Linked DNA regions of Ovis aries. The protein of the gene in region 1 interacts with the protein of each later gene in a pairwise test. Links are inferred from orthologs where the notes say so. Each region holds a gene or a part of one and is shown in the gene's direction. Other genes may lie near its edges.

Region 1 (3,983 bases):
TCTGTCCTTGGAATTCTCCAGGCAAGAATACTGGAGTAGCCATTCCCTTCTCCAGGGAATCTTCCCAACCCAGGGGTCAAACCCAGATCTCCTGCATTGCAGGCTGATTCTTTACCGTCTGAGCCACCAGGGAAGCCCAGTTCTTAAGATTACTTGGTCTCTATTGCTATTTCAATGACCCAAGATATTCAGAAAGAGGATTTAAGGTGGTTAGCTGGCTTGCATTCTCCTTCCTGAACATTTCTCTGGGGTATTCATGAACCTGGGGACAGCTCGAATGCCTTTTCTTTAGCTTCTCTTCTTTCTCACCCCAGACTGAGAAATTTTAAAAACATAATTACTCTTTTTTGAATGGGAGAACCCCAGGCAGATCCTTGCTGTAGGTTTAAATCTGTAGTCCTTTTTAACTTTTTATTTTATATTGGAGTATAACCGATTAACAGTGTGGTAGTTTCTAAATCTGTAGCCTTGGAATTAGCTCTTTGTCCTCCCTGAACACCCACATCCCACGTTTTGGTCTTAGTTCAGGTTTACGGTATTCATATCTCCCAGTCCACCTAAAAGGAATGCCAACTGGAAAGAAAGGAACTCATATCTTTTGAGCATCTATTGTGTGCTGAGCACTGAGCTGAATGCTCTAGAAATATTATTTCAGTAGCCCAGAGAGCTGGGAATTATAATGTCTGTGTAATAAGAAGAAGTGAAATCTGGAAGTGAAGTAGTTTCTCAATTTCACATACCTCTAGGAGATAATGGATTCTAGAACTTGGCACCATGCCCACACTGTCATCTTGGTTTAGAAGAAAGAAGCTGTGATGTGGCCCCAGGGATAGAGATTTGAATCCATATGTATTGTTCTAAAGTGGGTGGAGCAAGTGAGAGCCTTTCCACACACCTTTTATCCCTAATCACAGACCTGATCCCTGTGTTGGATAGATCATTTCCTCTTACTGGGGCTGGTAGTGACCATATGAACCTTTGGTTTGCAGTTGTGACCCCTGATTCCAGCAGAATGGCCCAATGGAATCAGCTCCAGCAGCTGGACACACGGTACTTGGAGCAGCTCCATCAGCTGTACAGTGACAGCTTCCCCATGGAGCTGCGGCAGTTTCTGGCCCCTTGGATCGAGAGTCAAGATTGGTAAGTCCTTCTCAAGAAACTCCCCAAATTGCTAGGCTTTAGTTTGAGTCAAGAGACATGATCTGCTCTAACTTAACTCTTTGCTAACTATTTCATCTTAAAGCTTATAGTTGCAGGTGACGGGACAAAAGAGATTGGAAAGTAAAGAGGTCATTTTAGTCCTGAAAAGCATTTTTACATTAGAAAGGCATCTGGAAAGCTGTCTTTTGGCACGCTGAAACATCCTGCTTGATGGTTCAGTTCAGTTGCTCAGTCATGTCCAACTCTTTGTGACCCCATGGACTATACCACCCCAGGCCTCCCTGTCCATCACCAACTCCCGGAGTTTACTCAAACTCATGTCTACTGAGTCGGTGATGCCATCCAACCATCTCATCCTCTGTTGTCCCCTTCTCCTCCTGCCTTCAATCTTTCCCAGCATCAGGGTCTTTTCAAATGAGTCAGTTCTTCGCAAGATTTGAAATTGAAAGTAAAACCTGTTACTGGTTCAGTCGTGTCTGACTTTGTGACCACATGGGCTGTAGCCTGCCAGGCTCCTCTGTCCATGGAATTCTCCAGGCAAGAATACTGGAGTGGGTTGCCATTCCCTTCTCCAGGGGATCTTCCCGACCCAGGGGTTGAACTCAAGCCTCCCGCGTTCCAGGCAGATTCTCTACCATCTGAGCCACCAGGGAAGCCCATTTTAATTTCATTTGCTTGATGAGATTCTCTGCATGTTCTGATGCTTCAGGGACATGCTACAGATAATTTCTTTTTAATCTGAATGAGAATTTTGTCATGGGTAAAAAAAGGTTTGGGTTTGTACTTCTGATTCCTCTTTCATTAAAGAAAAGAGATACAGAGTTAGAGAAACAGACTCAGTCATAGAGGAGATAGGGGTTCCCTGGTGGCTTAGATGGTAAAGAAATCGCCTGCAATGCAGGAGACCCGGGTTCATATCCCTGGGTCAGGAAGATCACCTGGAGAGGGAAATGGCAACCCACTTTAGTATTCTCGCCTGGAGAATTCCATGGACAGAGGAGCCTGGCAGGCTACAGTCCGTGGGATCGCAAGAGTTGGACACAACTGAAAGACTAACACTTGGTCATAGAGGAGATAATGGTACAGAATCCCAGCAACTCTTTCCTTCACTTTAATGTATTCAGATCCACCTTTTAATTTTGGTTTAATTCAGGCCCATGACCTAGCTTTTCCAGAATTTGATGAGGGGCCAGGGAGGTAATTCAGAGATGTTGGAAATAGGCCATCCTAACCTGGGATTGGTTATTTGCTACTGAAAATCTGACCATAGAGTTGACTGAGAATTTAAAGGAAAACAGCATATCTGACCATTCAAAATTTGATAAATATAGAACTATGACAGTCGCTTAATAGTATCCAAAATAATTGCTGGTAATTTTAAAATCAGTGACTTTTATGATTGCTGAGTAAGATGTATCTAAAATGGTGAGTGGGTTAAAGCTTCAGGTTTGCCTTGTTTTTCCCTCCTTGATGGTGATTTCGAGTGCATGCCTGTGCGTGTGAGCGTGTGTATGTGTGTAGGTTTCAGAATCATTCTTTGTCTTTATCTTCCTTTTTCTAGGGCATATGCGGCCAGCAAAGAATCACATGCGACTTTGGTGTTTCATAATCTCTTGGGAGAAATTGACCAACAGTATAGCCGCTTCCTGCAAGAGTCCAATGTTCTCTATCAGCACAATTTGCGAAGAATCAAGCAGTTCCTTCAGGTGTGAGGAGAAACTGAACCTGCAGAGAAGGGTTTTAGCTTTCTTTCCTGAAAATGTTTGTTTCTCACTTGGTTAATTAATAACCTATCTTGTACTTTAAATCCAAGGAGAAGTTACCAGCCCTTTCAGTATTATTGCTTGAAGTTTACTTGGTTGGTTCATTGAAATAATAATGTGATTTTTATGTTAATTATATTATGTTAGTATGCGAATGACATGATTGTAACAAGTTCAGATGACTAGGAAAATGGCTCTTACTTTTCAGTGTCAAAGGCTTGGACACCGTAGTTGGATACTCCTTGACAAAGTCACCCCCCTGTAAGACCAGGATAACTCACTGTCCAAAGTCTGTCTGTCCAAAGACAGACAACCAAGCCTACTCTCACTACAGTACTGCTCATCGTGATTGCCTTTCTTCTCCGTCACTTCTCCTACTGACTGTAGCCAGGCTCTGATGCTCTGTGGTTCCATGTAGTAAATGTAACACTTTCCCTAGTTTATGAGGAAGTTAGCTTTAAGTTAGCAAAGTTCGGTCCACATCTCCTGAGCTGCTGCTGATTTTCATTCTCTTTGTCTCCCCACTTACAGAGCAGATACCTTGAGAAGCCAATGGAGATTGCCCGAATTGTGGCCCGTTGCCTGTGGGAAGAGTCCCGCCTCCTCCAAACTGCAGCCACTGCAGCCCAGGTGAGGCCTGGGAAGAAGCAAGCGCTGTTAATATGTGCTTCCTTCACGTGTACGAAGATGTCCTTGCCTTTTGACCTCCATAATCGTGGGTGTTTGGGGGTTGTGTACAGTAAAAATAACTTTCTCAGCATATAAAATGCATTCTCCTTTTTAAGGAAGACTTTATTTAATAAAACATTACAGAAAATTACAAGGAAGAAAGTTTTAAGAACTGAAAGGTCACTGGCTCCTCTGTCCATTTTGTCTTCCCAGGAAACCAACATTAATAGTCTGGAATATAGCCTTTCATAACTGTCTCCAGGCTCCTATATAGGAAACACATGCACACACATTATATTTAAATTGGTTTACTTTTCCACGTCTTGCATTCTTTTAATTACATCATGTAAATCCTTCCAAGTCAAGCAGTTTAAAGCTAACTCATTTTAT
Region 2 (3,983 bases), on another chromosome or scaffold:
CTGTCCCCTGTACCAGCTCCAGGAGATGAGTCTCCGTAATGCTGGTGATTTCCTGCATCCTCGGAGGCAGAATGTCTGCCAACAAAGGGTGAAGTGGGCGGAAGATGCTTTGTAATGTCATGCAGGGCACGAGCAGTTTCTGACCCGGTTCCTTGACTGTGTGACCTTGAACCTGACTGAGACCTCACGTCCTCCAAGCAGCTGGCAGCAGACCAGCGCCTCTTGGGAGCTGTGAAGGCTGAGGTGGGAGTTTCTGTAGAGCAGTGGCACCTGCAGCCATGGGGGCACAAGAGACCTGAAAGAGTGCCACCCACTTCCCGCCCAGGTGGGCAGCAGCCCACACCCTGAGAAGTCGGCCCGGCCAGGGTCGGGTCACCCTGCAGAAGATCAGCTGCAATTTCTCTTTCCCCAGGCTGCCTGCTGGATTTCCTGAAGACGGATGAAGGTAGCCGATTGTCCCTCTCAAGGCTGATTGACATGTCGGCCCAGGTTCGTGAGCTCCAAGTGCAGGGATCCAGGCCCCTGGGCCCTGTCCTCTGCCCTTGCAGCTCAGCGAGATCAACTCTTTGGAGGCTGTGTCCATTAGATTTAGGCTGGGCTGTGAGAGAGAGAAAACCCAAGCCATCATAGCTTCAGTGTGTAAGCACCAGAGGCGGGCAGTCTGGGGTGGGCGGTGGAGCTTCCCCTCAGAGTCACAGGGACCCAGGTTTCTTCCACCCACTGGGTCTTAACAGATCATCTTCCCACCCAGGGAGCCTGCTCACGCTTTAGCATCTTGTCCTCCTCAGCCAGGAGGAAGAAGCGGGATGGAGGGGGCAAACCACACCCACTCCCTTTAGAGCCAAGTGCTGGAAGTCACTCCCTACACTTGCTCTCCCAGCCCCCTGGCCACCTGTCACCTGCCTGTACCCAGCTGCAAGGGAGCTTGGGAAATGTAGTCCTTCTCCTGGGCAGCCATGAAGGTTCTGTTGGTGAGAACCAGAGGAAGAAAGGATGGTGTGGGGAACCCAGAAAGTCCCCACGAATTCCACGTCCTATGGCGGGTCAGCACTTTGTGGTGACCTCCTCCATCCTCAGATGGTGCCCATTAATGCCTTCTGTAGACTCAGACATCATGAAGTGAAGAGCAAAATGAAGAGGAGGGAAACGTTCCTCCCGGGGGATTTTAGCTGAGGATTCTAACTGGCAGCAAAGCACATCCGGTGGCTCTGGGTGTGTGTCTGTTGAAACTGGAACTCTCGGAAGAAAAGCTCCGGTCTGTGGTCAGCCCGCGAGACTCAGAAACACACACACACATCCTGCTGGAGGGAGGCACCCTCCCCTCTCCCACGCCACCCCCACCCCCTCCAAGTCGTTATCTGCTGTGAGTATCAGGGCAGGAACTGAGGTCACCGTGCCTTTTTTCCACCGCCTTTTTTCCACTGAGGTGCACACAGGCTGGGCTGAACAGGATGGTGAGGTGGTCTCGGAAAACTAAGCCTGGTAGCTGGTTTCAAACCACAGCTCATGATAAGCCTGCTCACTCCCTTTTTTCCCTTTCTTTTCCTTTTCTCACTCGTTGTCAATGATCTCTGTCAAGCCTTTGGGAAATCTTGGGTTGCCAAGAAGCAAAGGATATGAAAAGTCACCTGAGTTTCTAAGTTCAGTTCAGTTCAGTAGCTCAGTCGTGTCCGACTCTTTGTGACCCCATGGACTGCAGCACGCCAAGCTTCCTTGTTCGTCACCAACTCATGGAGTTTACTCAGACTCATGTCCATCAAGTCGGTGATGCCACCCAACCATCTCATCCTCTGTTGTCCCCTTCTCCTCCTGCCTCCAATCTTTCCCAGCATCAGGGTCTTTCCCAATGAGTTAGTTCTTCCCATCAGGTGGCCAAAGTATTGGAGTTTCAGCTTCAGCATCAGTCCTTCCAATGAATATTCAGGACTGATATCCTTTAGGATGGACTGGTTGAATCTCCTTGCAGTCCAAGGGACTCTCAAGAGTCTTTGCCAACACCCAGCTCAAAAGCATCCATTCTTCGGCGCTCAGCTTTCTTTAAAGTCCAACTCTCACATCCATACATGACCACTGGAAAAACCATAGCTTTGACTAGACGGACCTTTGTTGGCAAAATAATGTCTCTGCTTTTTAATATGCTATCTAGGTGGGTCATAGCTTTTCTTCCAAGGAGTAAGCGTCTTTTAATTTCATGGCTACGGTCACCATCTGTAGTGATTTGGAGCTCAAAAAAATAAAGTCTGACACTGTTTCCACTGTTTCCCCATCTATTTCCCATGAAGTGATGGGACCAGATGCCATGATCTTAGTTTTCTGAATGTTGAGCTTTAAGCCAACTTTTTCACTCTCCTCTTTCACTTTCATCAAGAGGCTCTTTAGTTCTTTGCTTTCTGCTATAAAGGGTGGTGTCATCTGCCTATCTGAGGTTATTGATATTTCTCCCCGCAATCTTGATTCCAGCTTGTGCTTCATCCAGCCCAGTGTTTCTCATGATGTACTCTACAAATAAATAAGTTTCTACGTAGATGTGGCCAAGAATCTGAAGGTTAGGAAAGCAGAAAATCAGAACCTTCCAGGTGCACAGCTTCTAAAACACACTGTGATCACGCTAGCGCCTTGCTCTGTGTACGGGCACACACGCGCGTGCGCACTCTGCCTTCCGGGTGCTCCTCATCTCGCTTTATAGCATGAAGTGCAAAGCTCCCCTCCAGACGCAGCCCGTGTGCCCCACTTTGCAGCCACATGGCAGCTCCCCCCGTCCTGTCACACCTTGGAGCCTTCGCGCCGCCTGTCTCTGATGTCTGGCTCTGATGCAGAGGGTGGCCTAAAGTCCTTTCTCGCCCTGAGAGGGGCTGGCCTTCACTGTGGGGCCCCTCCCTCAGATTGCAGAAGGAATGGCGTACATCGAGCAGATGAATTCAATCCACCGGGACCTGAGAGCGGCCAACATCCTGGTGTCTGAGGCCTTGTGCTGCAAAATCGGGGACTTTGGCTTGGCCCGGATCATCGACAACGAATACACCGCCCAGGAGGGTGAGCAGCACCCCAACTCCCCAGTCCCCCTTGGACTTCTTATCGTACAAGTCTGACCTTGCTCCCAACTGGTTCAGCATTTCCCTGATGTGCTCTGGAGACCACAGGTGCCTCAGGAGGAATGACTAGGTGAGAGTAGGTTTAGAGATACCACCCCTTCCATGAGCCCTCCCTTGGAGATTCCCAGCCCGTAGCAGCATGATAAAGGCACTGAGAGGGCACGCAGCTTAGGAACGGTGCACACACGTTTCATGTTGCGTCTCCCGAAGTCATTGGAACCCCAGAAACTTTTTCCACATAGGTTCTGTGAACCTCTCATAGAACCAGGGGTTCACAGAGCACACTTTAGAAAACACTGCCCTAAACGCCTGCCTGCTCAGTCCCTTCAGTCATGTCCAACTCTTTTAGACCCTATGGACTTGTAGCCCACCAGGCTCCTCTGTCCATGGGATTCTCCAGGCAAGAATACTGGAATGGGTTGCCATTTCCTCCTCCAGGGGATCTTCCCGACCCAGGGATGGAACATGTATCTCTTACATCTCCTGCATTGGCAGGCGGGTTCTTTACCACTAATGCCACCTGGAAAGCCCAACGTATGAGCAGCAAAAACTTAATACCTGAATTGGGGTCACTACAGGTGCTTTGCTTTACTTTGTAAAAACTAGGCAAAATCCTCTTTACAAGAGGATTTGAGGCACTCAAAATACATTTCATTAAGCAAGTTAGCGAGTGATACTAGTGAACATATTAATCAGTTGATACGGGAAATGGATTATCTGTCCCATTCATTGAGGGAACTTCAGGCGAGAAAGCTAGAGAAGGTGCGGGTGATCAAGGGATGGGCCGTGCAGCTGCTGTGGACGTCATCCAGGGCTGTAGGATTTGAACTCTTTCCTCACTGTGACCCTAGCAGGTACATGAGTCACGTGTCACCACTTCCCTTTTGCAGG
Region 3 (4,762 bases), on another chromosome or scaffold:
TGCTCCTGTTGTTCCCTCTTCCAAGAAATGCTGTGAGTTGAAACCTCACTCATTTTTGGGGGTCTATCTCAGATGTCACCTTCTTTGCAAAGATTTTCCTGATTACCTCACTTTTCCCTTCACTAGATATTGTCTTGCTTTTTAGGATACTCACTGAACTGAACTTTGTATCCCTCATGATATTTAATCATAATCGGTTTCTTTTAATATAGTGTGTACTTACCTTATCATTCTTTTAGGATTATAATGTGCTTGAAAGGACAGACACAATCACTCATCTTTTGTTCCCACTAAGGCCTAGCCACGGTTTTAGCAAGTAATTGGGACTTCAATTAAAAAAAAAAAATTGGGCTTCCCTGGTGGCTCAGTCGGTACAGAATCTGCCTGCAATGCGGGAGACCTGGGTTCAGTTCCTGGGTTGGGTAGATTCCCCTGGAGGAGGAATAGGTTGCCCACTCCAGTATTCTTGGGCTTCCTGGGTGGCTCCGTTGGTAAAGAATCCACCTGTGATGAGGGAGACCTGGGTTCAATCGCTGGGTTGGGAAGAGCCACTAGAGAAGGGAACGGCTACCCACTCCAGCATTCTTGTCTGGGGAATCCCCATGGACAGAGGAGCATGGTGGGCTGCAGTCCATAGAGTCCCAAAGAGTCAGCCACGACTGAGTGACTAAGCACAGCACACAAAAAAGCTGTGTTAACTCCACTGAAGTATTTTAAGACAGCAAAGAGCAAAGTTCCTGTATTTATCCGACACAGGGAACACTTACGCAGCATAAACCTAAATACAGACATAAACGTACAAACACATACATGCATGTATATTTATCACTCTGCTAAGACGTCTTTGTCTCAATATTGAAGGATTCTGGGGTGTAGGCCAATGCTTTTTATTCCCAGTTGGCACCAAAAATGTTGCCCAGATTATAATTTGAGGACCAAAAAATGGCTTCAACATCTCTTTCAGTTTGGGATTTGAGACCCGGCCAAAAGGCATGTTGGCAAACGCTTACTAAGTTGAACAAAGACTGGCCCGTATGAGCCTCCCGGAGACGCCGGGGTTGGGGTTGGCGAGGAGTCGGGCGCTGGGCGGCGGGAGGGCTGCGTGGCGCGGATCTTCCAGCACTTCCTACTCCGCGGAACCGGGCCGACCAGTTCCCACCGCCGCCTCCTGCCTCTTGGCCCCACTTTGCGGGCCATGCCCACGCAGCGCGCCCTCCTCCCCGGCGCCGAGGCCGGGCTGGGGGTGCGCCGAAGCAGAGCCGGTTCGGGCATCTTTCGGCGGGCGGCCGGGGCGGGGATCCCAGGGCAGGGGACGAGGGCCGAAAGCCGGGGGGCCGCCCTCCGGCTGGGTTTCTAGGTGAAGGGCAGGAAAACAACCGGCGGGTCTGGGCGGGGCGAGGGCGGAGGGCACACATTGCTTCATCCTGTACATTTTACTGGAAACTGGGCGCATCCGGAGGAGGGGCCGGGAGGCGGTCCCGACGCCGTCAATGGCCCAGCAGGGCGCGGGGGAGGCCGGCGAGGCGGTGGCCCCTTCTCTCCGCCCCTGGTCTCGAACGCCGGTTAAATAGTCGGGCACTCCGGGTCCGCGCCCGTGCCCGCGCCGTCCTCCCGCCGATACCCTGAGCCCATCAGAGCTGGTGCCATAGCCACAACCGGGAGGCAGCCGCGCGCAGTGAGCCGGGGGCACAGCTGTCTGGAGTCCCCGAGCGCCGAGCCCGGGAGCATGATCGTGGACAAGCTGCTGGACGATAGCCGCGGCGGAGAGGGGCTGCTGGACGCGGCCGGCGACTGCGGCCTCATGACCAGCCCGCTCAACCTGGCCTACTTCTACGGCGCGTCGCCGCCTGCCGCCGCCCCCGGCGCCTGCGACGGGGGCTGCTCGGCGTCTGGGCCCTCGGCGCCAGGCTCGCCCGGCTCTGACTCCTCCGACTTCTCCTCCGCCTCGTCCGTGTCCTCCTGCGGGGCGGTCGAGTCCCGGCCGAGAGGCGGCGCCCGTGCTGAGCGGCTGCAAGGTACCCAGCGGCCCCAGCGGGGCGACCCCGGGACCCCCGGACTCCCGTGGGCCCACGCTCGGGGAGGCGGGTGGTCTGGGCTGCCCAGATGTGAAGTACCTCGGCCAGGTTTTAGGAGGATTCTGCGCCTGCCTTAGCGGCGGTACATAATCACACTGGTCGTCATATTAGGCCACGACTGGATGCCTTGCCCTGTGCTGGGCGTTTAGTATCACTCGATGCCCTTTGACCGTCTGTGAAATCCGGGTGCCATCGGCTGGCCTGTTAGCTGGAAACACACGGCTCTGATTGGGGAGGGGGGGGCGGGCGGGGAGAAGTGGACCACGTTGGCTTTTCTCTTCGTTTTCTTTTAAAAAACGCCTTTATTAACTATAATCCACACACTATGGCGAGGTTTTGGAGCCGATGTAGGTGTACCTTTTTCTCGTGGCTGTTTTAGTGAAAGGCTGCAGCGGGCGATAAGGGTTTGAGTACAAGGTTGAAGGTCATTATTTCTTCCTAAGTACGTATTTGTGAAAATTTTTACGTAGAAGGACTTTATAAAGAAAAGAAACGGATATTATCAAGATGTGAGATGAAGCTGTACTGAAAACCAACGTATACCTTGAGTTTGATTTTCCGAAGTCTGCCCCGAATTTCTGCGGTCTTGTTTTTGTTTTCTGTGCTTTAGAGTGGTTGGGCTGTATGTGGCAGAGAAAGGCGTAATGTTTCCGGTCTTCCGCTGTGAATTGTTAGTTTTTTTTCTTAATGAACGGAGTTGCATAATTTGGGGGAAAACAGGATGCCACTGTGGGTAAACCAAAGAACGTCTAGATAATCTCACATTTTGGAAAATGTAATCAGCATGATTTTAAAGAACGTTCTTCCAGGTGTTCCCCACTGCTAGCCATTCCTGTTTTGGTTGCGTTTTAAAGTGTGATTTGTCATTTTCATTTAAAAAAGTGATTCAAACAGTTCCACTCTGTAAACGCTTTCTGTATCTTGAGTGTGCAGTAAATGCCAAAATTGTGTGTGTTTATCTAAACCATTTCCCCCCCCCTCCTCATTTGGCCTTCATCTGGCTGAAACTATTTTACTAGTTCTTTGGTTTACCATAGGGGATTTCTGAAACTGAATTTTTCTCCTTGTGACGTTGAATTATTAACTGCTGTCATTCCAGAGAAATGCTGTGTTAGATTCTGGCAAGATATTTCTAAATGACTTAAATGTAAAACTAGCTGTTTAATTTGCCCTATCATTGAGTTGTTTCTCTCATATGTTTGATTATAAGTACATATATATATATGTTTAAATTATGCCTTGGTTTTTGTCCTATCTTATTTTTTCCTACTCTCAATGGAATTGCTGAATTATTCATTTCCTGACTGTGTGTGTTTACTCTGTGTTCAACTCATCCCAAGAGGTTGTGACATGTTAGTGGTCAGAGTGGAATGCTGTACTCATGTACTATGTTTTAAAGTGTATTTTAAAGCTTAAATATGAAATGAGATTATTTCCTTTTTACTTAGAAGGCCTATATGAGCAATTCCGTAAACAGTCGGTGAGGGGAAATCCTGTGTGTGTGTGTGGAAATGTGTTTAAGCTTAGTGAATTTAAAGCAGCTTTCTCGGCATAGCTCAACTGAGGGAAATAATAAACTAAGACATTATTAATTATTAGGCTTTGGTACATTGTTTTGTGCCTTCTTCGGTGAGTGGAATTGATAAGACTTTACAATTTCTGTGTGGACAGAAACCCTTTGGTTTGGAAAGCTAAAAATTCATCATTTAGCAATTGCTCTCCCAGGTTTTTAAAGAGTCTAGAATAATTATAGATTTATGAGAGTCAGGATGGCAAAATCTGCAGTCCTCTCTCTTGCCGTATTTAGGGCTGAGAGAGAACTAATTTGGGTTTATCCCTTGTTTCTGGGGCTCCCTGAAATGACTTTTTATGAGCTTTAATTCCTTAGGGTGCCTGGTGGGGAAAGGTATCAGGCAAGGTAGAATCCTTAAGTAGGGCTGGGGACTGACGTGCAAGGTCATCGGCCGGGGTGAGTTGAAGAGGCTTTGTGGCCAGTTGGGAACTTTATCACGTTGGACAGCTGTGCTTTCGAAGTTACTAATATTCATGTCTTTGAAGACACTCACTTGGGATATGTTTTTGTTTTTTGTTTTTGAACAGTTGAGCCCCATATGGGGGCTGTAAGGCAGCAGAGAGGACCCTTTCAAGGTGTTCGTGTGAAGAACTCGGTGAAAGAACTCCTATTGCACATCCGAAGTCATAAACAGAAGGCTTCCGGACAAGCTGTCGATGATTTTAAGGTGGCACCTAACTGATTTGTTTTGGGTTGGGTGGCAGGGAGGTTAGTCTGTTAGGGTTATTACTCTCATAGACCACAGAGTACAAAGGACAGAGAGCATATTTGTCCTGCTGTCTGCTAGATTCTTGTCGCTGGGCCCAGTGCTGGGCGCTTGGCAGTGTGCAAGAGAAATTTAATGAATGAGTAAACGAAGGCAAGTTGGGGGCAAGGAAATTAATGTGGTTCAGCTCAATGGAACATTTTGATTAGAAAGGAAAAGCTCAAGTTGCCTTATTAATTTTACCTTGACCCAAGTTGAATGAGGTGAAAATGCAAATGGGGGAAGTTGTAAGGTAGGATGGAAATGAACATAGAAAATAAATACTGTTAGAATGGTATATCATATGTTCATGGCAAACTACAAAGAATGGTAGAGATATCTGTTTACTGATAAATGTTAATCAGGAAA
Region 4 (4,712 bases), on another chromosome or scaffold:
ATGGACGGAGGAGCCTGGTAGGCCGCAGTCCATGGGGTTGCTAAGAATCAGAAACGACTGAGCGACTTCACTTTCACTTTTCACTTTCATGCATTGGAGAAGGAAATGGCAACCCACTCCAGTGTTCTTGCCTAGAGGATCCCAGGGACAGGGGAGCCTGGTGGGCTGCCAGACCTATGGGGTCGCACAGAGTCGGACAAGACTGAAGCAACTTAGCAGATGCTAAGTTAATTACAAGAAGATAAATACTGTATGATTCTACTTATATGAAGCATTTAAAATAGTCAAACTCATAGAAACAGAAAGTAGAATGGTGGTTGCCAGGGCCGCTGAGGAGGAAATGGAGAGCTGTTTACTGGTAGAGATTTTCAGTCATGTGAGAGGAAAAGTTTTGGAGATCTGCTATGAGGCACTGTAGATGCTTTTAACAATAGTGTACACTGTACACTTGGGCAGGAAGATATCAGGTTGTGTTTTTACTACAATAAAAATACTAGGGAAAAAATAAAACCCTCCATATGGGCCAAAGGACTCATATCTCTAATCTACCTTGATGATGACTGTGGTACTTGAAAACAGGAATCAACTTCCTGAATCAAACACAAAGCAAGTAATGTATAGTTGATTCGATATAAGACAACAGGAAATACTAGAATTTTTCTCTCAATTCAGGACTTTTATTTTGAGGTTTGGGGGATCCAAAAGAACTTGAGAGGGAAGTTTATACATGAGAGGAAAACAAAGACCCCAGTGAGAACCCAGTCCACCACATGAGCAAGCCCTGTCCCACACACAGCAGGTGCTCCAGTATTTGTTAAATGTTGGTGACTCATTCAATTTTTCTGTGCAACCTCCACAGCAAATACTGTGAATCTTGCTTATTGTTACATTTCTTAAAACAATAAGAAATTGTTGAAATTCAAAGAACTCTGCGTGATAGAAACTGCAGGAAACAAAACCAAACCAGAAAATCTCACGTCTGAATTGCTTCAAACTGTTAAACTGGGTGAAAAAGCTGTGAAGTAAAGAAAACTGTTTCCTGAATCACCTGAGTGAAACTCCAAGATCCAGCTCCCTTACCTTCCTGACAAGTGTGTTTTTACCAACACACTCTTTGCCTGCACTAAACTGTTCTTGCATAAAAAGTAGCTGAGTGATTTTGGAGACAGGATTGTTTTGCCTGAATCATCCAGATAACTGGAACAACTCAACTTCTAAGAACAATCCGGCCGAGGCTGCCCTGCCTACTAAGTGCCCGCTGTCCTCTTCAGGCCATATCCGAGTCACATCCAGCTTAAACTAGAGATGACAATGTCGCCTAGGAAGGAAACACGCCGTTATTGTTAAGTGAAACGGTCAACTCCAAATGCGCTCAGATCCTGAAATTCACTGCTGATGTCCAAAGGCGCTTTCGCAGCTTGGTTTTTCGAAGTCTCCTTTCCCTGAGAGCATCTCAGGGCTGCCCGAAGGCATTTGGCCCCTTCCCCCAGTACCACACTTTGCTTCCAGACCCGTAGGCCTGTCCAATAAAGTTGTTTAAAATACAAAACGTAGCAGAGGATGCTCGAGCAGGAAGAGAAAAAGAACACCCGGCGAAATGGGTCGGTGTTGGAACGTGCCATTCGTTTTGAAGGGAGGAGAATCCCAGGTGTGAACTGCATCCCGAGCGTGAAGTCATTTACCAGACCTCGGGGTCTTCAGGGCCTGAGAAGAGAAAACACCAAAGACCGGGCGGAGCGCAGGAAGGGGCGGAGGCCGGAAGCGGAGCCTGGCGCGGGCGGCGGCCCCAGGCGCGTACCCCGCGGGCCAGGGTGGTGCGGCCCTGGGCGGTCCCCGCGGGCAGGCGGGGAGGCGGGAGGCGCTGGGCGGCGGCGCAGAGTGCAGCATGGCGTATCCCGGGCATCCTGGCGCCGGCGGCGGCTACTACGCAGGCGGGGTGAGTGCTGCCCGCGCGGGCTCGTGGCCGGGGCGCGATCCCTGGACGCCCGGGGCTCCGAGAAGCCACAAGGGTCGTCTCGGCCGGGGAGGTTCCCGGGCGCCCCCGCCCTGCCCGCCGCCTCGCCCAGCGCCCCCGCCGGCCGGCCTCGGTCTCCGGCGACCTCCTTCCTCCTGTCCCTTCTTCCCCCCGGGTTGCTGCTTGGGGCCGGGACGCGCGTAGTTTAACCCAAGAAGCCCACCCTGTGCCTCCCGGATCCGCGGCGTGAAATCGTGCAAAAGGGGTGTTGCCTTCCGCTCCGCCTTCCCTAAGAGCAACAGCCATTTTACTCTAGAATGGTCCTGCGATCCACTTCTTTCTCTCTCTCTCCGAAATTGAGAGAAACGGGGAAAGTCAGGGAAAGTCCGCTAGAGTCGGAGACTTCCGGCAGGAAGGCAGCCTGGCCCTCAGTCTGGGACGGGCATCCTTTTGGGAACTGTTTCCTGAAGAGAATATTCCCTATCCGTGACACACCTCACCCTCCCGAGGCTACACCTGTCTCAGAACGCTTTAAAAATACCTTAAACGCTAGGAAAAATTATGCAAGACAATTCTGAGCCCTGCTGGTAAGTTGCATGGCCAGGTTGCATTCGTCTCAGTAAACTGCAGGTTAATGGAGATTTGCAGAGGTTACTTCATTTATACTGATGTCATTGTCAAGACAACTCATTTTGATCCTAGCTGCGGGTTTTTAAATTATAACTGGGATGAGAATGGGACAAAGGGAAGGAGTGATTGCGCCTATAGAGTTAAGGGAGGTGGGAGGGGGGGAGCAAACGACTGACAGCGAACCTGGCTTTGCACAAGGCACTCAGTGGTGAAAGGATAAAACTTGGTCATCGGATTTATTCATTTGTTCCCTGTCTTACAGTACGGAGGGGCTCCCGGAGGGCCTGCGTTTCCCGGGCAAACTCAGGATCCGCTGTATGGTTACTTTGCTGCTGTAGCTGGACAGGTTAGCTCTTCCCTTTAACATTAAAGAAATTTCAGTTTGTACATTTGTATTAACCTTTGTTACAGTCCCACGGAAAAACGACTGTTCCTCTGGAAAAGAATTCCTTTGCTTCTGCTCCAGAAAAGAGAGAGAGAGAGAGAGAGAGAGAAGGAAGTTCATGGGCAGTTATTTATTTTTGAATATTCAGAACAAACTGGGACAACGTGTTACTCTTGCTTATGTTCAATTCAGAACTAAACTTGTGATTGAATTAGGGTCAGATTGAACACAATAAACTAGTGTAAATATGCTTTGAAGATATGTAAGGTAGAAAGATGTCTTTAAAACGGTCAATTGTCAGGATCCAGACAGCGAATTTCCAGAGAAGAAATTCCAGGTCGACTGAACTTTAAACCTTTCTTTGTACAATTAGAATCATGTAGTACCAGTAATTCTGTAGCCAGATTCTGAGGGACATTTTCTTTGCATTGAGTTTGACTGTTAATTACCCCTTTAGGAAATGGGTACTCCAGGTTAAAACCCACTAGCTTCAAAATAAGGAAGGTACTTTCTTCTTGCTATCAGGAAGTTAATCTTGTGGCCAGTTTAGTTTTTCTTAGCTGCGGATGCTATTACTAGGTCAGCCCTTCCATGTCCTTGTTAGGTGTTGTGGTCTGTTGACCCAGACAGAGAATGAATTAAGGTCAACACCCCAAAACCTTTCACTTCTTCTAGTTGTGTGACAGGTGGTAGTTCATCTTGTAGGAGGCCTTTTTCCTCAGGTACCAGGTCACTGTATATACCATACTGCCGTTATAATCCAACATGTTCAAAGAGGACATTTGTGCTTATGAATTCAACCTAGCTTTCTTTTAATCAAAAGCTAGAAATAGCACAGTCTTGATGTGAAAATGCCTGTAGACTGTTATGGGATAAAAACGTGTGACCACCTTCTAGAACAGCACTGGAAAAAGTACAGTTTGAGAAACTGAATGGAAAATTGAGTCTAAAACTGAAAGAGCTTCCCCTAAGTATCTGCTTCACCTGTTAGTGATCAGTATCTTTGAAACCACAAGACACGGCAAAGCTCAAGTCTCTGCACTCTTAGACCGCCAGGACCAGGAGCCATGAAAGGCACCCACCTGCTTAGCTTTCAGCAGCCCTGGTCTGCGGCAGCATGTCCATCGTCTTTCCCATTATTGATCGTGCCTGTCATCTAGATTGTATAATAGTCATGAACTTGAGGATTTGGGCATTTTATTTTAAAATCTAACGTGTTTCTAGTTCTGACCTAGGTCAGCCAGTGAATAGGCATGGAGAACTTGTATAATTGTATAACCAGCTATAATTGTGATCTGAAAAAAACATTCATCATATTCTAAGCAAAGGAGATCACAGAGGCTGCTTTTTGTGGGAACCAAACTTTTCATTTACTGATGTCATCTGTGTACCCAGCCCTCCACCCCCTCAACAGAAAAAAAAAAAAAAAAAGCGAGGACAAGTAATAGAACTTCTGATCAAATACATAAATAATTGTATTTTAAATTGCTTACTTTTGCAGTTTCCTAGTTCAGAGTAAGAGTAGTTAAGGGTAGGAGCTAGTTGTATTTATATGTTTAAAAATATGTCTCAGTGGAAGAAACTGAATTAATCTTACTGTTTTATTAAGAAGAGGAACCGTATGCTTTAGAAGTTATGCCATCTAATTCAGGAATTTATAGGAAATGACAAAAAGATATTGGTAATACCAAAGCATAGGTGTAAGCAGCTTTCAGACTTGGTAATTCTTGTGTAATGACCGTT
Region 5 (4,701 bases), on another chromosome or scaffold:
ATCCCAAACAGAAATTCTATACCTATTGAGCACCTACACTCAATACAGTGTATATCCACTGTACCTGTTGAGCAATAACTCCCATTCCCCAGTCCCCTGCCCCTCCCAGGCACGCTCCTACTTGCTGACTCTATGAATCTGACTCCTTTAGGGACCTCATGTAAGTGAAGTCATATAACATGTCCTTTTCTGACGGCCTTATTTCGCTCACTATAATGGCTTTCAATTTCATCCATGCTGTAGCATGGGTCAGAATTTCCTTCCTTTTTAAGGTGGAAATCCTTTTTCAAAAATAGTATTTAGTTTCCACACCAGGATTGAACGTTTTAAACATTTTAACATACAAAAACTTAGAAGGCATAAAGTAACTATTTACAATATGATGTAAAGTAAAATTTCTATATAAATACAGTAAATAATATTTACATTCAAATTCAAGTGTTTTAGACAGAAATGTTAGTGTTAGTCCCTCAGTCATGTCCAACTCTTTGCAACCCCATAGACTGTAGCCCACCAGGCTCCTCCGTCCATGGAATTCTCCAGGCAAGAATAATACTAGAATGGGTAGCCATTCTCCTCTCTAAGGTATCTTCCCCACCCAGGGATCAAACCCAGGTCTTCTGCATTGCAGGCAGATTGTTTACCATCTGAGCCACCAGGGAAGGCCCACAAAATGTAAACATTTAAATAAATGTTAAGGAAAGTTTTAAGTAATTATTCAAAATTAAAATTTAAATAAATATATTAAAATCAAATGAAAAAGCATCATATAAATAGTTAATGTTATGAACAATGTTTAAATAAGTGTTTATATAAAATTTAAATATTTAGGACTTCCGCGGTGGTGCTGTAAGAAATTGTCTGCCAACACGGGACACGGTTTGTTCCCTGGCCCCGAAGATTCCACACGCTGAAGGGCAACTGAGTCCCTGGGCCACAAGTACTGAGCCAGCGTGCAGCAACTATGGAAGCCCATGGACCTAGAAAAGAGCCAGGGGTTGCTTTCCCCTTGGTTCAGAGGGTAAAGAATCTTCCTGTAATGCATGAGACATAGAAGACACTGGTTCGATCCCTGGGTCAGGAAGATCCCCTGGAGGAGGAAATGGCAATCCACTCCAACATTACTGCCTGGATTTAAAAAAAATTAAATATGTTGCATAGATTTAAAAGTTAAAATATAAAATAATACGTAGATTGAACTTAAAACGAAAATATTTCAGTGTTTTAAATAAATATTTAAATGATCGTTTAAATTTAAAACACTTAAATGTTAATATTTAAAATAAATGCTATTTTAACATAAAATTAAATCTTAAATATGAACAAAAAACTAAGAAAAAATTTAAATGAGATTTTAATAAATTAACTGCTACAGGAAATTTTATAATTATACTTGAAGATGTGTAAAAACTAAGACTACTCCCCTCTTCGCCCTGCGCGGAACTGAGGCAGCCAGGAAGCTCCTTGCCTCCTCCCGGCCCCCAGCGGACCTCAAGCGCAGGCAGCGCCTTGGCCAGCCCGGCCTGCTCGCGAGGACCTCTCACGGCCAAGATGGCTGCGCCCATGCGGCAGACTCGCAACCTCCTCGGATGGGTGACGACCCTGGGCCCAGGCTCCCGCGGCTACCGAGCGCCGCCGCCTCCGCGCCGCTCACGGGACCCCTGGTGGCCCGACCCGGATAACCCACTGACCCCGCGCTGGCAGCTGGGGCCGCGCTACGCAGCTAAGCAGTTCGCGCGGCATGGCGCCGCCTCCGGTGTTGACCCCAGTTGTCTGTGGCCGTCGCGGGAGCAGCTGCTCGAGCTGGAGGCTGAGGAGCGAGAATGGTACCCGAGCCTGGCGGTCATGCAGGAATCGCTGCGGGTGCAGCAGCTGGCGGAAGAGCAGAAGCGACAAGCCAGGTGCGTGCGTGCGGTCGGGCGGGAGCGGGACTGCGGGCCGACAGTGAATTGTGCATCAACAGTGCTTACTCCATCGGGCGGTTTATCGCCGGTTTTGCATGCGGTATTTACGTGCACGCTCACCTGGATGTGAAAAGACTTCTGGCTAAGTTCATTTAGTCATCGGTCAACAAATCTTTACCTAGCGCCTACTATGCACAAGGCCATGTCCCAGGTGCTGAGGGCATAGTGGGGAACAAAATGAATTTCAGATGGTGACCAAGAGTCATTAGGAAGATAAAATTGGGTGGAGCCTGCAGGCCTGAGGGCGACTTCGCCTTGGTAGGCCCCAGCCTTCTCTGAGAACTTGACATTTAAAATGTTTAAGCAGAGACCTGTTGGGCTTCCCTTGTGGCTCAGCTGGTAAAGAATCCACCTGCAATGCAGGAGACCTAGGTTCGATCCCTGGGTTGGGAAGATACCCTGGAGAATGAAAAGGCTACCCACTCCAATATTCTGGCCTGGAGAATTCCATGGACTGGATAGTCTGTGGGGTCACAAAGAGTTGGACATGACTGAGCAACTTAAGAGAGAGATGAATGATCGGCGGTAGCCATAGAAAGATCTTAGAGTGTTCTTGGTAAAGGGAACAGCCGGTGCAGAGGCCCTGAGGTCGGTATATGCTTTATGAAACAGCCTGGACATTAGTGTGGCTGGGGAGGTGTGAGAGGTGATGGAGCATGGGATCAAGGGTACAGATCGGACTTGGGAGGCAGGTCTGAAGGATTTAGAGGTAAGAATGGAAGCAAGAGCGAAGATATTGATTGTGCCAATTACTGAAGAGAGGGGGCAGCGAAGGCAGGCGAGTGTGTTCCTGGTGTTTACTGTCCTTGTCCTCACAGCAGCTCTAAGAAGAAGAGGGAATCACCCTTATTTGAGAGATAGGAAACTCAGGCCAGGGAGGGTGAAGTCACTTGTCCAATCGCCCAGTGAACGAACAGAGCTGGGAAGTGAACCTATGTCAAGTAAACCCCGTTATCCCAGCTGGCTGACCGTACCTACCATGGGGCTTTCAGTTTCATGTTTCTAATCCTTAAAATGGAACAGTGACTCATACCTACCACCCATTGGAGGGAAAGGTCCGATTCATTTCTTGCCTCCACTCCTGTATCAAGAAGTGGGCCTGGCATAGAGTGGGTACTCATTGATGTCTGTAGGATGAAGCAATGTGCTATGGGAATAACACGTGGCCTTGGATGGCTCAGGAGACAGCTCAGGGAAATGCTGGGTTGACTTGGGGTCTGCTCCTAGAGTGACTGGGGCTTACTCAAGGTTAAATACATATTTATTTCCCTGGCAGTTCAGATGGTAAAGAATCTGCAATGCAGGAGACAGCTACTCACTCCAGTATTCTTGCCTGGAGAATTCCATGGATAGAGGAGCCTGGCAGCTAGTCCATGGAGTCTCAAAGAGTCAGACACAACTGAGTGACTAACACTGTCACTTTCACACTAGTTCCTGTCTCCTGCCTCTTGCTTCACTTCTCAAGGACTTTTCTTGACAGTTTTAATGACCACCATAAGCCTTCTCAATCTTTCATCTCGAGATATAGGGGAGCTGGAAGAGGCAGGCTGTGGGCAGAGGCTTGGGGGTGGGAGGTGGGTGGATGGGTACTGCTCTGGCTGGGTGGGGCTGCCCTCACCAACCACCCTCCTGCACCGGCAGGGAGCAGCTCATTGAAGAGTGCATGGCCAAGATGCCACAGATGATTGAGAACTGGCGGCGGCAGCAGCAGGCACGCAGGGAGAAGGCACAAGCAGACAAGGAGCGGAGGGCCCGGCTGCAGGCGGAGGCCCAGGAGCGCCTGGGATACCACGTGGACCCGAGGAGTGCCCGCTTCCAGGAGCTGCTGCAGGACTTGGAGAAGCAGCATCGCAAGCGCCTCAAGGAGGAGAAACAAAGAAAGAAGAAGGAGGCACGAGCTGCTGCGATGGCCGCTGCTGCGGCCCAGGATCCAGCAGACTCTGAAACACCCAACTCCTGAGCTGGGTTCTTTCCCAATAAAACTTGCCCCACCCCTGAAGAGCTATGTCCTCTTATCACACCCCTCCCTGGGCACATGGGTTCCTTCTCCAACACCTGGAGCCAGGGAATCCCCCACCCTTCCCTGGCTCTGCTCACTCAGGGGACTCAAGACCATGCTGACCAACTCTGGGGCTTCAGGGGGAAAAAAGGTGGGGAACAATGGGGAAATAATGGAGGAGCAGATGGCAGAGGAGAAGAAGGCTTCTGTTTACCAACATTAATCTCCAGTAATTAGCCAATTACCAGGGGGGAAGTGTAGCCAAAACAGACTGTGGTGATGATGGGGGGGGTGGAAAGAGCAGCAGCCCTTCCAAGGCTGGGGCCCACTGCCTGGGAATAACACAGCTTGGTGGTGGGGGCGGGGTACACCAGGAGCCACAATCTGCAGAGGCAGACAGACCCCTCTGCCCCTTTCATGGCATTCCCTCATCTCCTGTGCCCAACTAGCCCCTAGACCCAGACCAGCTGGAGTGGGAAGCCCCAGTAGGGATGAACCACAGGACTGGCTTTTAAAACTTTATTCACTTCAAAACCTTTATCAGAGACAACAGTTCTCTTCTGGGGTGGGGGGCTTGCCTCAAACTCCAGAGCGACTCTGATGTTTCCCGTTCCCCAAGCAGGACAAACCAGACCTCCCCCCCGCAGCAAAGGGATGCAGGATGGAAGCCTAGGCCAGACCACAGAGGAGTCCTTGGGCCTCTTGAGCGTTCACCCCAGATGGAAAGATGTGAGACAC
Region 6 (3,983 bases), on another chromosome or scaffold:
GTTTAGGGAAATTTCTACTGCATTTATCTTTGGAAAGAAGCACCTCACAGCTCATAAATAACATAGCTAAAATGACTAGGATGTCAATCCCTGGAAAAAAGTTAAATATGTGAAAAAATTAAATTCAGATTATATATCTATATGAATTTTTAATGAAGTATAACATGGACTTAGACAAACATACAAGTCCTAAGTGGACAACTTCATGAATTTTCACAAACCAAACATATCTGTATAACCCACACTTAGATTAAGAAACAGAACATCTCAGAACCCCAGGACCACCCTTATCTTCCCTTTGGGTCACTACATCCCACCAAAAGCAATCACTAGGCTGACATATAATATCATAGAATATTTGCCTAGCTTTGATCTTTACATAGATGGAATTATAAAGTATATAGTTGTTTACTGCCTATTTTCTCATGAGATTCACTCATAGTTTAGTATGTGGTTGCAGTTTATCCTCAATTGCTGTACAGAATTCCACTGTGTGAATATAATGCTGTATGAGTTTCTTATTGCTGCTGTAACAAATTACCACAAATTCAGTTGCTTAAAGCAACAGAAAGTTCTTCTCTCATAGTTTTTAAGTCAGAAGTCTAGAATCAGGTCTACAAAGCTGTACTCCTTTAGGAGGCTTTACGGAAAATCTATTTACTTATTTTTCCTAGTTTCTGGGGGCTGCCTACATTCCCTGGCTCCTGGCCCCCTTTTCCATCTTTAGGGCCAGATTGGTAGCATCTGCTTTCCTCTCTGATCTTTGTTTCCATCTTTATACCTGCCCCCTAATCTCTGACCTTCGTGCATCTCACTTGTGCCCTTGTGATTATATCTGGCTCATCCCAGTAATACAGGATAATCACCTCATTTCAAGATCCTTAACTTAGTCATATCTGCAAAGTATCTTTTACTATGTAAGGTGACATACTCACAGGTTGCAGGGACTGGGACATAAACATCTTTGGGGAAAGGGCATGATTTAGCCAACTACAGCCACAATAAGGTCATTTCCAGTTTTTACCTAATTGAAATAATTCTGCTATGGAACATCCTTTTATATGTCTTTTGGTTTCACTATTGGGCGTATATGGGTCCTAGGATATGTGCAAACAACTTTCCAATGTGGTCATGCACTTCATACTCCAACCAAGAAAGTTTGAGAGTTCCAGCTGCTCCATGTCTTATGACTACTAGTTACTACCCCTTTCTTTCCTATTTTTTTTAAAAGCTGATATACTTTGATTGTCAGTTCCCAGCTCATGAATCTGTGCCTCACTGTGATGTACTTGAATCTCTTGTTCTCCAAAGCTGAAGATTCCTAGAGCAGTTCCTATTCTCAAAGTAGATGAACCATCTTCAAGTACCACTCTAGCCCAGTATGACAGTGATTCCAAGAAAAACTATGGCTCCCAGTCAAACATCAACATGAAGTATATTCCAAAAGAAGACTTTCCTGACTGGTGGCAAGTAAGAAAACTGAAAAGGTAAGTCCCAGCTTTCAGTCCAGCTGCACAGCATGTCAAGCAGACATTACCCCACTGCCTCAGAGCTGAGCCTCAGCACGGCCTGCACAGGCCATGGCTGAGACAGGGCTGCCCTCTCGGAAAATCCTCAGTGCCTGAGCCAGAAGCCTAGAGTAGTGCTGGCCCCACTGGGACTCAGCACCACAGACTTGCCATTTAGATGACTGAATCTAATGATGCGTACAATACTTGAGCACTTTATTCCCTTTCCTTTCTTTCCTTCTTCCTCCAAACAACCCCACAGTCCAGAACACCAAATCTTTAAAATATATCCTTTATCTGAGACAGCTTAGAGTGGGTAGGTTTTTGCAACGTGCTTTGGCATCACTGGCCAATGACAAGTATTCAAACGAGGCTGTGGCTGCCTTCTCAGGATGTACACCTTCACCTATAGTCTTCTTTGCCACTTGCACTTTTCACTTCACATCTGGGACATTTTTCCTATTTTAAGACATGAGGATATACTACATTTTTAATTTTTTAATGTTTCAGCTGTGGTAAAACAGCACAAAATTTACCACCTTCGTCATGTTGCAGTGTAGAGTTCAGCAGTGTTCATTACCTTCCCACTGTTGTGTAAGCCACCTGATTATCGTGAATGTCTGTATTGCATTCCATCATGTGGACAAACCTAAGTGATGCACAACTGATGGACACTCTCCACATGTTCTTAAAAACCACAAAAAGGCTAAATTGCTTGGTATTTTTAAATAAGAGCTTTCTTATGAAGAGCTGAAGGGAAAAAGCTTTGCTAGTGAGCAAGGCTCTTTGGGAAGCTGGGGCTTTCCAGGCTTTCCTTGAACTGCAGCCAGAGGAGCACTTCCTTGCTAAGGAAGCTTGTCACTCTGAAGTGTGGTCTTGAAAAAGAGCCTGGGTTGTGAAGGCAAACAGGAAATAGGTCCTACCTTCCAACTAAAACAACCTTTGGACTTGGAGAAGTTGGCACTTCCTCATGGGCTGTTTCACACACCAAGTAAAAGAGATAAAATGATGGGTGGAGAGGATGAAGAGAACCCTGCAGATCTGTGTGTGTACACATGGAGTTAAAAGGTTCAGTATTTTCAGGACTTTCCATTGCAAGCATAACGGCAAAGAGGAAAATAACTTATATTAAAATATATTAATGACAGAATGCCTGCACACATACAAGAAAATCAGAACAAACCCAGCCAGGATGATTTACTAATCCAAGTTTTCTACTGTTTGGGGTTATTATGAGCCATTATTAAAAACTCTCTTTTGTTTAGGCATCCTATCAAATGACTAGTTTTTAGTGGGGTCACTGCAAGGATGAAAATGTGAAAATGACTCATTAGCTTAAATTTCCAAACCAAGTGACATATATGGGTCACAATATTAAATAAAGCTAAAACATATCCAAACAATTACTTTTGCCATTTAACATTTGTAAATAAATATAAATTTATAAACTTTATCTCTCTTTTTTGTAGCAGTGAAGATTTGGCATGCAGTAACCAAAGGGAAAGAAATGTTGTAAATCACAACACCTCAAAGATGTCATGGTAAATCAACTTCAGATATTCTGTTGCAGCCAGGATTTCTTTCATCTTCAGGAAAACTAATCACAGGTGTAAAAATTTTGCAACTAGCCTTTAATTTTAAGGTGACTATAAAACAAACAAATACACGGAGTTTGCTTCTTTGAACCCTGACAGTGGTCTGAATGGATAACTTCTGAGGTCACACTGATATTTCCTACCCATCATACATGATATACACAGGTGTCAGCATGAACACAAACCTACTTGGCTCAGGCATGTGAGCCGGAGGGAAAACAAGGTGGTGTTAAGGAACTCTTCTTTGAGAATACCTCTATACACTCACAAGACTTCCTCTAACTTCATATCACAGCTGTCCCTGAAGCATTTCATCTATTTCACGAGTCTGCTCTTCTGACCGAGTCAAAGAAATCTACATTCCTGGGATCCTCCTGTATCAAGGAGCCAGTGTCTCATGAAACTGGGCATGAGCTCAACTTGTGAGCAACCTTCTCTTCACTTTGCTGACCCCTTCCCAAGTGCAAAAAAGGGAAATCTAACAGTGCAGATTTTATTTATGTGGATAAAAGCAGGGTGGGATTTGACATGGCACTGTGAGGCACTTGGAGTATTGCTTGGTTGTGTGTGTGTGTGCGTGTGTGTGTGTGTGTGCACGTGTGTGTGTGTATTAACCACGTTTCCTCTCTTCTTAAGGGGCTCCCCTGAGTCAAGTTCATCTGAAGAAGAGGAAAACCTTGATGATTATGAGTGAGTTTTGAAAGTCCTCTGTGTTCCTTTAAAACTAGACATAGATATTTCTATCTATTCTTCTGAAAAGGCTGTATTTACATGGAGAAACTCCTGTGAGGTTCTGGGCCATGAAACTGGAGGATGGGTGACAATAACCTGGGCTGTTACTAATGAAAATGTTGTTCAGTTGCTAAGTCGTGTCCTACTC
Region 7 (3,983 bases), on another chromosome or scaffold:
GGAGAAAGAGACAACAGAGGACAAGATGATTGGATGGCATCACCAACTCAATGGACATTAGTTTGAGCAAACTGAGAGATAGTGAAGGATAGGGAGTCCTGGTATGCTGCAGTCCGTGGTGTCACCAACAGTCGGACACGTCTGAACAACAACAAAATGTTAATTTATGGGAAGATTTTTTTAGTTGTCTAAGTGCTTTGATTCCCTAGGAGTGTTTACTTTTGTTTGTAAGAACCTGAAAAGTAGTAATCTCTTATCATATTATTTCTCTAGATTGTCTACTGACTTTGAAAAGCTTTTCCTTGTTTCAAATTACTGTTTTTTAATTGTGTTTCCTTCTATAATTTCTGTGTTTTCTTTTCATATTTCTGTATATGACTAAGCCTTTTTATAAATTTTGGTGAAGTATAGATCCAGCTTTACTTTTTCCAAGTGGTTTTAAAATGTTCTTTTGGGGAATACAGAGTTTTATCTGTGGTATAGATTCAGCTGTGTAAAGTAATAGAATGAAATGCAAATAGTTGATAACCTCCAGGTGATGGGAATTGGAATGCTTTTTATTTTTAAACATCCAGATTTTCTATTCTAGCTTTTTATACTCATGTATTCTCTAAGTCGGAGAAGGCAATGGCACCCCGCTCCAGTACTCTTGCCTGGAAAATCCCATGGACGGAGGAGCCTGGTGGGCTCAGTCCATGGGGTCGCTAAGAGTCGGACACAACTGGGCAACTTCACTTTCACTTTTCACTTTTATGCATTGGAAAGGAAATGGCAACTCACTCCAGTGTTCTTGCCTAGAGAATCCCAGGGACGGGGGAGCCTGGTGGGCCGCTGTCTATGGGGTCACACAGAGTCGGACACGAGTGAAGCGACTTAGCAGCAGCAGCAGCAGCAACATTCTCTAAGTGGGCTTCCCAGCTGGCGCTAGTAGTAGAGAACTCCCCTACCAGGAGACATAAGAGATGTGGGCTTGATCCCTGGGTGGGGAAGATCCCCTCAGGAGGGCATGGCAGCCCACTGCATTATACTTGCCTGGAGGATCCCGTGGACAGACAAGCCTGGTGGGCCATAGTCCGTAGGGTCACAAGGAATTGGACACAGTTGAAGCAATTTAGGACACACACACATCCTATAAACAGAAAAGAATTTTGAGTCAGTTTATATGTTTTTCTTATAAATAATAGGTACATAGTCTAGAAAACCCACAAAGAAATATTAAAATCATTTATAATTATCCAAGTTAACTTGTTAATATTTTGACATGTATGTTTCCCCTCATGGGAAATAAGCTTTTTTCCATGAGTCACAACTGATATTCACAGACAATAAATAGAATTCTCCATTTATCCTTTGTAGCAGTGTAAAGTATCCCATTATATGAATGTATATTTTTTGTTGGATATTTAGGTTGCTTTGGCATCCCATTCCAGTCCTCTTGCCTGGAAAATCCCATGGACAGAGGAGCCTGGAAGGCTGCAGTCCATGGGGTCGCTAAGAGTCGGACACGACTGAGCAACTTCACTTCACTTTAAATGTTTTAGTAGTATTCAGAATTGCTGAGATGACTACTCTTAAAGCTAAATCTTGATTACATGTTCTCAGTACTTTTCTTAAATTTCTAAAAGTAGAGTTGCTGTACTGAGAAGTATGTCTACCAGAAAGTTGTGTGCCTAAGAGCACTGCATGAAAGTGCCATAATTGTTTGCTGGGTTTGTTGTTTCTTTTTTTTTGATATGCATGATGTAGAGCTTGGAACTGGAACTTACTTTTAGAGATATTATCCTAATTTCTGATTTTACTTTTAAAAATATTAAATTCTAAAAGGCAGGGAAAACTAGTTAGTACTACATTAGGATCCTTTAGCTCTTACTTTGTAACTTTCTCTACATAAATTAGAAATTTTAAAGAGGCTTTCACCAACATCACTAAAACCTAAGTGTGTGTTTGTATTTTTTCTGTTAGGATGCCAGTGGTGAAAACACTGTGGTCCCTCCAGAAACATATGTGAAAGTGGCTGGTCATCTGAGATCTTTCCAGGTAAAGTCAGAAAAAAACAACAACAGTTAAAATGTATTTGCATGAAGCAGTTTCTGGAGTCATGCCTACATTTGGGATACTTAAGACTTAACTAAGTCTCTATGTTTAATGGGAATTATATTGAAGTTATTTCATTATTTTCTTCTTCAGAAGGAAATGATGAGTTTTTTCAGTTTAAAACAGGAAGTAGAGAAAGAACAAGATCTCAGCCTACAGTTGCCAGCTATGGCATTCATTAGATGTAGAAGGGCAAACACTGGATTTAGAGACTAGACTGTTTAACCTTGGGAAAATCATTGAACGTCTCTGAGCTAGTTTTGTTTTTTTGACTATATTTCATTGACTATATTTGAATTAACTTTGAGTTGAAATTTTTCAATATATAGCACATTTTCCTCATTTAATAAAATACTGTAACCAAGAAAAGAGCCATGATGTTTTGGCCTGAAATTGACTTGAATGTACTTACCCTTTGTTCACGTTTTTCTATTTATTTTAATAGAACAAGAAAAGCCTGGTAGCCTTTAAGATCATGCCCCTGGAGGATATGAATGAGTTCACCACACATATTCTGGAAGTAGTCAATGCACACATGATGCTGAGCAAGTCGAACAGCCAGGTGAGCAATTTCACTCTCTTCGTTTTTTTCTCTTCCCTGGAGGAACTGCTTCTGTGCTCAAGCTTTGATTTCCGTAACATTTTGCAGATCGAGCCAGAAGACAGGCATCATTCAGTCCTCAAAAAATTTTCTCCGTGAGCTTTGTCATGTTACTTTATTCCAGATGAAACACTCATATTCCTCTCATAATACCTGTCCACTGTCTTGAATGGCTGAGGCCCAGACAGACTTTAGGTGTAGACTCATCATTATAGGCTGAGCTCTTTACTTCAGGATTTTCAGTCCATATTCAGAGAAAAACCCCAACTAAGACAGCATTTTGCTGCTTCCCTTTCAAGCTACTGGCTAAATGAGAAAATTTATTCACCATTATTTTGTCCTGAAATTATACTTCTTGTTTCATGTTGAAGTTTCTCAACATCTTTTTCTGTAGTATGAATTTAGTTTGACAAGTCCATCTAGGACCACACAAAAGATTTGTTGATCTGAGTATTAGAATGCCCTTAGATGATTCTGGTAGCAAGGTGGAGGCCTGGTTACAGTAGGAGGGACTGGAAAACTGATTTGCTTTTGCATCCTGTTCTTTGCCAAGCACTTTGCTAAGCACTGAGGATACAAAGAGAAATTCATTCAATTTATTGAGCATAGCATATGCAAATCATTATTCAGGGTCCTAGGAATACAGCAGTGAACAAGATGGATAAAGTGTCTGCACTCAAACTTACATTCTTGAGAGAGATGGATCATAAACAAGAAAATAAATATTGTTATAGATACTCTAGTGGAGGTGATGGAATTCCAGTTGAGCTATTTCAAATCCTAAAAGATGATGCTGTGAAAGTGCTGCACTCAATATGCCAGCAAATCTGGAAAACTCAGCAGTGGCCACAGGACTGGAAAAGGTCAGTTTTCATTCCAATCCCAAAGAAAGGCAATGCAAAAGAATGCTCAAACTACTGCACAGTTGCACTCATCTCACACACTAGTAAAGTAATGCTCAAAATTCTCCAAGCTAGGTTTCAGCAATACGTGAACCATGAACTTCCAGATGTTCAAGCTGGTTTTAGAAAAGGCAGAGGAACCAGAGATCAAATTGCCAAGATCCTCTGGATCATGGAAAAAGCAAGAGAGTTCCAGAAAAACATCTATTTCTGCTTTATTGACTATGCCAAAGCCTTTGACTATTTGGATCACGGTAAACTGGAAAATTCTGAAAGAGATGGGAATACCAGACCACCTGACTTGCCTCCTGAGAAACCTGTATGCAGGTCAGGAAGCAACAATTAGAACTGGACATGGAACAACAGACTGGTTCCAGATAGGAGAA

What was found.
Region 2: the proteins of STAT3 (region 1) and BLK interact in binary tests that used the Homo sapiens proteins (3 or more experiments, as listed by UniProt). The link is inferred for Ovis aries from reciprocal best matches to the Homo sapiens genes STAT3 and BLK.
Region 3: the proteins of STAT3 (region 1) and NFKBIZ interact in a two-hybrid assay, tested with the Homo sapiens proteins (2 studies listed by BioGRID and IntAct). The link is inferred for Ovis aries from reciprocal best matches to the Homo sapiens genes STAT3 and NFKBIZ.
Region 4: the proteins of STAT3 (region 1) and SRI interact in binary tests that used the Homo sapiens proteins (3 or more experiments, as listed by UniProt). The link is inferred for Ovis aries from reciprocal best matches to the Homo sapiens genes STAT3 and SRI.
Region 5: the proteins of STAT3 (region 1) and GADD45GIP1 interact in binary tests that used the Homo sapiens proteins (3 or more experiments, as listed by UniProt). The link is inferred for Ovis aries from reciprocal best matches to the Homo sapiens genes STAT3 and GADD45GIP1.
Region 6: the proteins of STAT3 (region 1) and BMX interact in binary tests that used the Homo sapiens proteins (3 or more experiments, as listed by UniProt). The link is inferred for Ovis aries from reciprocal best matches to the Homo sapiens genes STAT3 and BMX.
Region 7: the proteins of STAT3 (region 1) and RPA2 interact in a two-hybrid assay, tested with the Homo sapiens proteins (2 studies listed by BioGRID and IntAct, with this or other methods). The link is inferred for Ovis aries from reciprocal best matches to the Homo sapiens genes STAT3 and RPA2.

Annotation. Positions count from the first base shown.
Region 1 is NC_056064.1:42,177,772-42,181,754, reverse strand, and holds part of STAT3 (signal transducer and activator of transcription 3), read left to right. Parts: intron 1-989; coding exon 990-1,140; intron 1,141-2,722; coding exon 2,723-2,867; intron 2,868-3,455; coding exon 3,456-3,554; intron 3,555-3,983. UniProt on the Homo sapiens protein: Signal transducer and transcription activator that mediates cellular responses to interleukins, KITLG/SCF, LEP and other growth factors. Once activated, recruits coactivators, such as NCOA1 or MED1, to the promoter region of the target gene.
Region 2 is NC_056055.1:105,347,793-105,351,775, forward strand, and holds part of BLK (tyrosine-protein kinase Blk), read left to right. Parts: intron 1-412; coding exon 413-489; intron 490-2,882; coding exon 2,883-3,033; intron 3,034-3,983. UniProt on the Homo sapiens protein: Non-receptor tyrosine kinase involved in B-lymphocyte development, differentiation and signaling. B-cell receptor (BCR) signaling requires a tight regulation of several protein tyrosine kinases and phosphatases, and associated coreceptors.
Region 3 is NC_056054.1:167,095,558-167,100,319, forward strand, and holds the start of NFKBIZ (NF-kappa-B inhibitor zeta), read left to right. Parts: upstream 1-1,726; coding exon 1,727-2,015; intron 2,016-4,175; coding exon 4,176-4,315; intron 4,316-4,762. UniProt on the Homo sapiens protein: Involved in regulation of NF-kappa-B transcription factor complexes. Inhibits NF-kappa-B activity without affecting its nuclear translocation upon stimulation.
Region 4 is NC_056057.1:73,943,510-73,948,221, reverse strand, and holds the start of SRI (sorcin), read left to right. Parts: upstream 1-1,854; 5' UTR 1,855-1,885; coding exon 1,886-1,936; intron 1,937-2,846; coding exon 2,847-2,930; intron 2,931-4,712. UniProt on the Homo sapiens protein: Calcium-binding protein that modulates excitation-contraction coupling in the heart. Contributes to calcium homeostasis in the heart sarcoplasmic reticulum. Modulates the activity of RYR2 calcium channels.
Region 5 is NC_056058.1:10,910,352-10,915,052, forward strand, and holds GADD45GIP1 (large ribosomal subunit protein mL64), read left to right. Parts: upstream 1-1,535; 5' UTR 1,536-1,551; coding exon 1,552-1,901; intron 1,902-3,605; coding exon 3,606-3,924; 3' UTR 3,925-3,963; downstream 3,964-4,701. UniProt on the Homo sapiens protein: Acts as a negative regulator of G1 to S cell cycle phase progression by inhibiting cyclin-dependent kinases. Inhibitory effects are additive with GADD45 proteins but also occur in the absence of GADD45 proteins.
Region 6 is NC_056080.1:13,696,129-13,700,111, forward strand, and holds part of BMX (cytoplasmic tyrosine-protein kinase BMX), read left to right. Parts: intron 1-1,311; coding exon 1,312-1,487; intron 1,488-2,977; coding exon 2,978-3,049; intron 3,050-3,739; coding exon 3,740-3,793; intron 3,794-3,983. UniProt on the Homo sapiens protein: Non-receptor tyrosine kinase that plays central but diverse modulatory roles in various signaling processes involved in the regulation of actin reorganization, cell migration, cell proliferation and survival, cell adhesion, and apoptosis.
Region 7 is NC_056055.1:239,191,946-239,195,928, forward strand, and holds part of RPA2 (replication protein A 32 kDa subunit), read left to right. Parts: intron 1-1,962; coding exon 1,963-2,037; intron 2,038-2,539; coding exon 2,540-2,656; intron 2,657-3,983. UniProt on the Homo sapiens protein: As part of the heterotrimeric replication protein A complex (RPA/RP-A), binds and stabilizes single-stranded DNA intermediates that form during DNA replication or upon DNA stress.